2 linked regions of the Arabidopsis thaliana genome follow. The protein of the gene in region 1 interacts with the protein of each later gene in a pairwise test. Each region holds a gene or a part of one and is shown in the gene's direction. Other genes may lie near its edges. The genes, in order: NPY4 and AT3G07270.

Evidence for each region.
Region 2: the proteins of NPY4 (region 1) and AT3G07270 interact in a two-hybrid assay, tested with the Arabidopsis thaliana proteins (one large-scale study listed by BioGRID).

What each region holds. Positions count from the first base shown.
Region 1 is NC_003071.7:9,808,729-9,813,210, forward strand, and holds NPY4 (Phototropic-responsive NPH3 family protein), read left to right. Parts: upstream 1-1,913; 5' UTR 1,914-2,056; coding exon 2,057-2,118; intron 2,119-2,213; coding exon 2,214-2,283; intron 2,284-2,355; coding exon 2,356-3,420; intron 3,421-3,491; coding exon 3,492-3,740; 3' UTR 3,741-3,934; downstream 3,935-4,482. Other genes in the region: AT2G23060 (Acyl-CoA N-acyltransferases (NAT) superfamily protein), read right to left, coding at 4,111-4,482. UniProt on the Arabidopsis thaliana protein: May act as a substrate-specific adapter of an E3 ubiquitin-protein ligase complex (CUL3-RBX1-BTB) which mediates the ubiquitination and subsequent proteasomal degradation of target proteins.
Region 2 is NC_003074.8:2,312,167-2,317,712, forward strand, and holds AT3G07270 (GTP cyclohydrolase I), read left to right. Parts: upstream 1-1,831; 5' UTR 1,832-1,838; coding exon 1,839-1,851; intron 1,852-2,265; exon of another isoform or gene 2,266-3,284; coding exon of another isoform or gene 3,285-3,297; coding exon 3,298-3,498; intron 3,499-3,706; coding exon 3,707-4,893; 3' UTR 4,894-5,022; downstream 5,023-5,546. UniProt on the Arabidopsis thaliana protein: GTP cyclohydrolase 1 is the first enzyme in the biosynthetic pathway leading to folic acid.

The sequences.
Region 1 (4,482 bases):
ACCCGTATAAATTTTCATCACTCAAAAAATACAACTTATTATTGCACACCATAAACAATGTGAAAACTATATCCATCACTTAAACAAGAAATGGATATCTTCATTATGTTGGCTTTTGATTCTTTTTCCTTTTCCTTACATATACGATTAACTCTCTGGATGTACTAGAAGTATCTTCCACTTCAACTATTTCTTTACCATGTGACACATTTTGAGTCTTCTCCATTTTCTTCAAAAGAACCAACATCAATCTCAATCAATACCAACATTATCATCTTCAAAAAAAAAAAACTATCTTTATACAAACCTTCTTATTTAAGCGCTGTCTAGACATTAACTCATAGAATTTCCGCATCATCATCTCTTCTTCCACCTATAAACACAAATGTATGTAAGATTGATTTCTTGCTCATATTATTCATATCAAAAGTACACAAAGTTTCATCAAACAAACCTCAAGTGTTTGGAGTTCTTGAGTCATCGTTTTACGAGTTTCTAAAAGCAATTCAGTTTGCTTCTCCAAATGGCTGTTGATGTGCTAACAACGGTAAATCATTATACGCAATGCACACACGAAAAATAAGCGTAAAACTGAAAACAAAGACGCACTTTAATAAATCGTCGGTATATTCAGGATCCATGCTCCACAAATTGATCAACTTCAACTTTATACTGATCTTGTGCTGATCACAAGTGGATCAAAATGTCATGAGAATATAATAGATAAAAATTACGTACAAAGCACAGTTTGATTAAGAAAAAGGAGAGTCTTTTATCATTGATTCATTCACACACATATCACTAGAGAAGATATGATTCTAATAATCTAAAGGGTATGATCACAAATTCGAACAGTTAACAGCAAAAACATAATTAAAGAACCAAACAAAAAAAAAAAAGCAGATTTAGAGAAAGAATATCTTAGTTAGACAATTCGTCGAGCAACTGGTGTGCATAGTCTCGTGCCTATCAAATTTTTCACAATGCCACGATACTTAAATCAGAAACAATCAATTACGTCTAATATATAGATAAATCATCAAAAAGGAAGTTCTTTTACGTACCCTTTCGTCAAATTTAACGATTCTTATAACTTTCACCACCATAAACACTTGACGATTCTCTTCTTCTCTCTCTCAATCTCACCCAAAATCAAGTCCTCTCTTCTACAATGGAGTTGACTGGGCTAATGGGCCGGTGTGACTAGGCTAATGGGCCGGTCTATTGTGACCCAAAGAGAACAACAAAGATAAATAAAGTTTCGATTTTTATGTTTATCAGCTCTATGTGCTTCTCATTAGATGAGAGACTTTCGCTAATATTTTATGTGTTTGTTTTGTTTTTTGAATGCAGAAGTCCATAAACTTTATATACTAGCGTAAGAATATCCTAACTTAACATTCTAATAAACATAACACTTATATAGGTTGAACTACACTTGGTATTTGATATTTGTAGTTGTAATTTTCTTTTAGGGTTCTTTGAACCACTCCACGATTTTGATCCTTGATTAAATTTTAAAGTATGTTGAAAAGTAGAAAATATGTGTATCGAGAAACGATCTCTGACTTCTCTGATGTTATGCTTTCACTAACCATCTTTATAGAAAACATACAAAAAGATTTGATTCGTTTTGTCCTTTGAATAAATGTTACCAAGAAATTCTGATTACCGCAGGAAAGATGCAACTTTTGGATTCGGGTTTATATTTTAACATAACAAATTTACAACACAATGGGCAACCAAAAAGAGGAGTTCATGTGCCAAGCACTTAGAAAAAAAGAAAAAAAAAAAAAAAACAAGCGTGGTGTTTGGGTTTTCGAGCCTTGAGAGGTTGGTGGGTGTGTTGTTGTGAATCTCTAAGTTTTCTCTGTAAATTATATATTTGTTTACATGTATATAAAACAATGTTTCTTTTTAAAGTGACCCTTTTAAGCTTTCTTGAAAACAAGATTGTGCATAGATCTCTTCTAAGATCCTTAGCTTTGTTTTCTCTTTTGTGTCTAAAGATCTTGAAAGTCTTGTGTGCAATAACTTATTAAAGAGATAGAAAAAAATGAAGTTTATGAAACTTGGAACCAAACCTGATTCATTTCTGTCTAAAGGAGACAATGTTAGGTTTGTAGAAAACAAATATTTACCTCTATGTATTTCTCTGATTATGCTTAAGCAATGTTTTTTCTAAAACTGATATTATTTTTATTGGCTCTTAGGTATGTAACAAATGAGTTAGAAACAGAGATCATCATCATCATCGGCAATGTCAAGTTCTATCTGCATAAGGTATGAAACAAACTCTAGCTTTTAAAACATCAAAGAAGAAGCAAAGTTTTTATGTTTTTGTGTGTTTTTCAGTTCCCATTGCTGTCGAAAAGCGGATTCTTGCAGAAACACATAGCAACATCAAAAAATGAAGAGGAGAAGAAGAACCAAATTGATGAGATTGACATATCAGAGATTCCTGGTGGTTCTGTTGCTTTTGAGATTTGTGTCAAGTTCTGTTACGGCATCACGGTTACTTTAAACGCTTACAATGTGGTTGCGGTTCGTTGCGCGGCTGAGTTCTTGGAGATGAATGAAACGTTTGAGAAAAGCAATCTCGTTTACAAGATTGATGTTTTCTTGAACTCAACCATCTTCCGTAGTTGGAAAGATTCTATCATTGTTCTTCAGACCACAAAAGATCTCTTGTCTGATGACTCAGAGGAGCTCGTGAAGCGTTGTCTCGGCTCTATTGCTTCTACTGCTTCGATAGACACCTCGAAAGTCAAATGGTCTTATACTTACAACAGGAAGAAGAAGCTTGAGAAAGTGAGAAAACCAGAAGATGGTGTTCCAAAAGACTGGTGGGTGGAAGATTTATGCGAGCTTCACATCGATTTGTATAAACAAGCCATCAAAGCAATCAAGAACCGAGGTAAAGTCCCGAGTAACGTTATTGGAGAAGCATTACATGCTTATGCAATAAGAAGAATAGCTGGTTTTAGCAAAGAGTCCATGCAACTCATTGATAGATCTTTGATTAATACAATCATAGAGCTTCTCCCGGATGAGAAAGGAAACATTTCCTCTAGCTTCTTGACCAAGCTACATCGAGCATCGATCTTTCTTGGATGTGAAGAAACCGTGAAAGAAAAGTTAAAGAAAAGAGTCAGCGAGCAGCTTGAAGAGACAACAGTGAATGATATCTTAATGTATGATTTGGATATGGTGCAGAGCCTAGTGAAGGAGTTTATGAACCGTGATCCGAAAACTCACTCGAAAGTATCCGTGGCAAAGCTCATTGATGGATACTTAGCTGAGAAATCAAGAGATCCTAATCTCCCTCTTCAGAACTTCCTCTCTCTCGCTGAGACACTCTCTAGCTTCCCAAGACACTCTCACGACGTGTTATATCGCGCAATTGACATGTTTCTAAAGGTAAAACAAGATTCAAATCCTCTGTTTTTCATAACGTTTCTTGATTTGTTAATAATTTGGAAAATTTTCAGGAACATTCGGGGATTAGCAAGAGCGAGAAGAAGAGAGTATGCGGGCTAATGGATTGTAGGAAACTATCCGCGGAAGCGTGTGAACATGCGGTACAGAACGAACGTTTGCCAATGCGGGTGATTGTGCAAGTTCTCTTCTTTGAACAGATTAGAGCCAATGGTTCATCAACAGGATATAGCACTCCTGAGCTTACCACTACTACTCTAAACACTGAGGATGATGAATGGGACCATGAGAAAGAGTTTTGATTGAATCTTTCTTATTTTGTTTCTTCAACACCATCTTTGAGTTTTACTGGTAGTTTTCATTTTCCTAAATTAGAAAACATTTGGTGCTTGACCTTTGTAATTGGGCCAAGTTTTAATGGGCTTTGTGTTCGGCTTGAAGCCTTTCTCATCTCGAATTTTAAATGAGAATAAAAATCAGAGCAAATTTTGCATTCATTTGTCTCGTTGATGATGGTAATTTCACTAATTTGGGAAATAAAATCACAAACTTGTAGTCAAACAATAATGGAAAAATTTGGAAATAAGAAAAATAAAAAAAATCTGATAGAGAAAGTTGAATAATATTCCTTTCCTTAAATATAAATTAATTATGTCATTTTGAGTTATAAAACTAAAATTCTCTAGGGTCAACAAAAATAGAATCGCCAGGTGGCGATTTAGTCCAATCACCAACAGAACCATCACTATAATCTTCTCCAAGCCGTTTAATACACCACAAATCCTCAGCGCACGATAGCACTTTCCAATGCGGTATCCCTCGCCGGAGCGGCTCTTCGCCGGCGACTTCTGCCGCCACCACGCCGCATCCTCCTTCCTTTGCCAAATTATGTGCATGGTCACACAATGCCTTCACCATTTTCTCCGCGCGTGGTCCTTCTCCGCCGATTCCGTACATAAAATGCAGCCCAAACGGCCGGAAAACCGCCGGGATCGACGGTATTTTCAAAAACGGTAGAGTTTTATCAACCATGCGCGTCGCTTT
Region 2 (5,546 bases), on another chromosome or scaffold:
ATAAGAAACAATAGGAAAACGTGCTTGTGGCATGCAACGTTGTTTTTTTTTTAGATACAGATACAAGGCTATTTTCTAAATTCAAAATCTTAATCCGACCAAATTTAAATCTATAAAAGTGATTGGTTACAGACACTATTTTACTTTTTTGTCTTTTTCAAGAAGTTATTTGGATTTTCAAAATTACAGCATTAATTAAAATAGTAAACATATGTTAAAAGCCTAGGCGGATAAGTGAAAATATGATTTAAAACATTTCTAATGCATATTTTATTTTATTTTAAAGGAGATTTTAAAATATAGAGAATAATTCAATGTGCCTTTATTTTATTTTAGAGAAAATTCTATTTTAGATATATATAATGGACTAAAATTTTTTATATAAAAAAAAATTTCTTAAATAAAAAATAATATAAAAATGAACATTGGAGATGGTCCGTAAAAAAAATGGAATATTGGAGATGATCTTGTTTAAATACTAATTACGGAACTACCTACTTTAGAGATATCTATGTGTTAATAATTGTGGTATGTGCTAATGATATGGCTATGTCATCCTCTTATGTTATATTGCAAGTTGTTTCAAAACGAAAAGTATTTGAAAATGGTCGATTATTATACGTATATACGAGTAAAAACATATTTCAGTCCGAACTAATATAATTATACTCTCTAACTACTTTCTTTTTTTGGTGAAGTACTCTCTAACTACCTTACGACAACAATTATTACCTGAACATTGAACAATGAATTTATTACGAAATACAACATGATCTACAAGATATATCGTGAAACACATTTAAATAGTCCTTATTTGGCGTTAAAAATTGTGTTCATGGTAAGTTTAATTAGCGTATAAATATGTACGATAGATATAGTTTGGGTTGAAATCGTATATTTTCCCCTTTTCTCCGTTATATGATTAAAAAAAAAACAATTTGAGGCATAGAATAAGCCCATTTAACTCCTACTAGCCTCACTCACTTCCCCAAATTTCTTAATCACCACTGGATACTATGGGCTATCTAATTTATTTTAAAATAATAAATAATAACTACTTAATTTTTTATAACATTTTTGGGGGCAACAACTTAATTTTTAATGGACCTTATAATTAATGGAAAACTGAAATAATTAAAATAATTATTACTAGATGACTAACTTTTTTATACAAATTACCAAAAGTGAATATGGAAGATTTTTTTGTTTTTTTGTTTTTTTTTGCAACATACCCTCAATAGTTTAAAACTATGCACTTTTATTTTTTACATTTAATGTTATTTCTAATGATACTGTATTACATTTTAAAAAAAAAATTTATTTTAAATATAGCACATTATTTTAACATATTCATTATGCACTTTAGTTATGATTTTGTCACATATTTTTGTTATCTATCTAATTAGCTCAATAATTAATTACTCTTATATTTGCTTAGGATGTAAAATGGAAACTTATCATAAAATAACATGTAAATATTATTAAAAATAATTTATTTTCTTATTTGTCAAAGATAATGTACTTATTATAAACACTAAAACAAAAATAAGTAATCACCATTAAACTTATTTTTATGTAAATGATATCTAATGATTAAATGGTATATATTGGTGGATAATGATGTAGATATATTCAAAGATTAAATACTATTTTTATGTCTGTACATATATGGTTATTTTAAAATTTTTATTTATGTCTATATGTCTCCTTATATATGAATGATTCCACCAAAACTCTTTTTTTTTCTCAACACATTCCTTATGAACTTTGTATACTTTGGCTATATATATCAAATTAAACACAAAGAACAAGAATGTACAATAAACCATTCTTCTGCCATGGATACAAAAGGTACTTTCCTTGTCCTATCTTTCTTCAATTATATTACACAGCCCTTATTTTACATTTGATATCTACAAATTAACATACATTTGTATATGTAAATCAGTTATCAATGCTCTTCCACTATCGATTTGGTAGTCTTTCTTCTCCAAAGTCCAAACCATGTTGCATTGAGAGGATCATCTCTATTAATGTCTGAAAATCTGTTTTTTTTTTCTTCATACATCATGTTTTCTCAGTCGGCTTGAGGAAGGCAACGCTTTCCACTTGATCTAATAAGATATTCATCTCAAGCTAACAAGAGAAAGCTTTTTTTGTTCTCTTTCTGAAACTAAAACTTATAAAAAAATCTCTAATGTTTTCTTATCCTTTCACTCGTAAACGTATTACGTATAACAGTAGAAACTTATCATGATACAAATAGTTCGTTTCTTTGATTACTTTTTAAAAATGACTTTGTAATTTCATTGATTCTGCTTTACGAATGCTGAATCTGGAATTTTGTTTTGCTTTTGTTTAGATTATATATATTTTAGATACATATAATATAGTTAGTTTCAGTTAGAGTATATACTAATAAAGAGCGACCGATCTAATAAAATTAGTCTACTAGATTGGTTAGGTAGAGTCTTTAAATATAATCTTGCAATTGATATTCCCTATCAGAGCATATTATAAGAAAAGTTCCGGTGACGTATTCAACCATTAAACCAAGAGATAGAGAATATGATTTTAAAAAGTTGATTTGGAGATTATCATCTATAGTTTTTTCTGCCATCTCTGGTAATGTAGATTTTTTATTTCCACAAATAGGTGAAAAAAAAGAAGGAAAAGAATCAAGTGGGTTACTAGCTAGGTTGGTCGGTAACATTATTATTTTGGGACAGAACATGTTGAAAGGTTTGGTGCATTCGAAAAGTCTTCGCCGCCTTGCCTTTTTAAATAATTTTTGTTTTAAACATCACTAAAAAGACTATAGTCTATAGAAAAAGAAAAGAAAAAAAGTCATTAGTTTTAATCGCATTACGCTTTCGGATAACACGAAAGGTTAAATTATAAAATGAACGATTTTACGAATCCACATATTCCTGGATCAACGGGAACCCTTCGTTTCTTTCCCACCCGCGTGTTATCCCGTTTCTCAAATTTCTCATCTTTCCGGGAAAATTCACTTTTTTTTTTTCCTGGGAAGATTCGTTGTGTTGTGAATTTTAGTGGGCACCTTCAAATTTTCGATTTTTTTTTTATTTTCCTTGTCTCTTACCTGATTTGGTGATTTATTATTACATCAACCACTCGATTCGTTAGATTTCCGGATTTGAAAAAGAGTCACCAACTTGTACGGATTCTCGTTTTGGGGATCGAGTATTGCTGATTTGTGATTTTGTTGTTTTTGGGTACTTTCCCTTTGTGGATTCGGATCTGGTTGGTGGCTTTGTCAAATGGGCGCATTAGATGAGGGATGTTTGAATCTGGAGCTCGACATTGGAATGAAAAATGGCTGCATTGAGCTTGCTTTCGAGCACCAACCTGAGACTTTAGCAATCCAAGACGCTGTCAAACTTCTCTTGCAAGGTCTTCATGAAGATGTCAATCGGGAAGGCATCAAAAAGACTCCTTTCCGTGTCGCCAAGGCCCTTCGTGAAGGGACCAGAGGTAACTATGAATCTCTTGCTCTTTTCTTCATCTTATAAGTAACTCTGTTCTTGAGCTATTGACCCTGGTTAGTTTATGTCCCGTGTAGTAGCTTGTTACTTGGCTTATTTGTTGTTATGATCTATTAGGATCTCCCTTTTTTTTTGTTTCCATTGGTGAAATAAGTTAGAATGTGGAAAGTATCAATCTTGGTGGCTTTTTTTCTCAGGTTATAAGCAAAAGGTGAAGGACTATGTACAGAGTGCTCTGTTTCCAGAAGCAGGGTTGGATGAAGGAGTTGGGCAAGCAGGAGGAGTCGGAGGACTTGTTGTTGTCAGAGACCTCGATCATTACTCTTACTGTGAATCTTGCTTGCTTCCTTTTCATGTCAAGTGTCACATAGGTTATGTCCCATCGGGCCAGAGAGTGTTAGGACTGAGCAAGTTCTCTAGAGTCACTGATGTTTTCGCCAAGCGGCTCCAAGACCCTCAGCGTTTGGCTGATGATATTTGTTCAGCTCTCCAACATTGGGTCAAACCAGCTGGAGTCGCTGTTGTTCTTGAATGCTCTCACATTCACTTCCCCAGTTTGGACTTGGACTCTCTGAACTTGTCTAGCCACCGTGGATTTGTGAAGCTACTGGTTTCCTCGGGGTCAGGAGTTTTCGAGGATGAAAGCTCGAATCTTTGGGGTGAATTTCAGAGTTTCTTGATGTTCAAAGGTGTAAAAACGCAAGCTTTGTGCAGAAATGGCAGCTCTGTGAAAGAGTGGTGCCCAAGCGTTAAAAGCTCGTCTAAATTATCACCTGAAGTTGACCCGGAAATGGTTTCTGCTGTTGTTTCCATCCTGAAATCACTGGGAGAAGATCCGTTGAGGAAAGAACTCATTGCTACACCAACTCGATTCCTCAAATGGATGTTGAACTTCCAAAGAACCAACCTCGAAATGAAGCTAAACAGCTTTAACCCTGCCAAAGTCAATGGCGAGGTCAAAGAGAAAAGGCTGCACTGTGAGCTGAACATGCCCTTCTGGTCAATGTGTGAACATCATTTGCTTCCTTTCTATGGAGTTGTTCATATTGGCTACTTTTGTGCTGAAGGATCCAACCCCAACCCTGTTGGAAGTTCACTCATGAAAGCGATTGTACACTTTTATGGGTTCAAGCTTCAAGTGCAAGAGAGGATGACTCGACAGATCGCTGAAACGCTATCGCCTCTTGTTGGCGGGGATGTGATTGTTGTGGCGGAAGCTGGGCATACTTGTATGATCTCTAGAGGAATTGAGAAGTTTGGAAGCAGCACCGCGACAATCGCAGTTTTGGGTCGGTTTTCGAGTGACAATTCCGCAAGAGCGATGTTTCTAGACAAGATCCATACAACTAATGCCTTGAAGACAGAGTCAAGCTCTCCATTTTGAGATGGTTTCATGTCTGTTTGTTGTCTTTTTTTTATGCTTCTGCTTGTCTTCTCTTTTTTTTGTTATATGATAAATACTTCGGAAGTTGCTAAACTTCGGAAGCAAACCAATGATTTCTTGGTTTTGATTCTTCTTCATGGGTTTGTTTGTTTCTACATGGAAAATGAATATTTATCTTTATGTTAGGTGTGACATTCTCTTAATATAGATAGATTTTGTTAGCCATACTATTACTACATTGGACTTTGTTTAGAATGAAAAGAGATATTGAAATTTGAAAGTTTATAAAGCATTACTCAATCCTGTTATGTTTCCAGAGCTTGAGTGTAAACATCTCTCTTTCCAAAAATGGTACTAAGAGAAAAAGGATGAAGACAAAGTTATCTGTACACAAGAGACGATCAAGATTTTGTATGGATTCCAAGAATAACTTTGACCCAGAAAAGGGGAAACAAAGTAGATACAATTGTAATGTATTAGTGGGTAATTTATAAGATCTCTCCCCTATTCTCTCTATATCCTCTCTAATATACAACTTAATGCTAAACCCATCTTCTGATGATGACACAGCCGAATCAAAACTGAACCAAAAGTCTATCAGATGCTTACCGCAAATCTCATTTCCAACAATCACACTCTCGAAAAGATTTTAC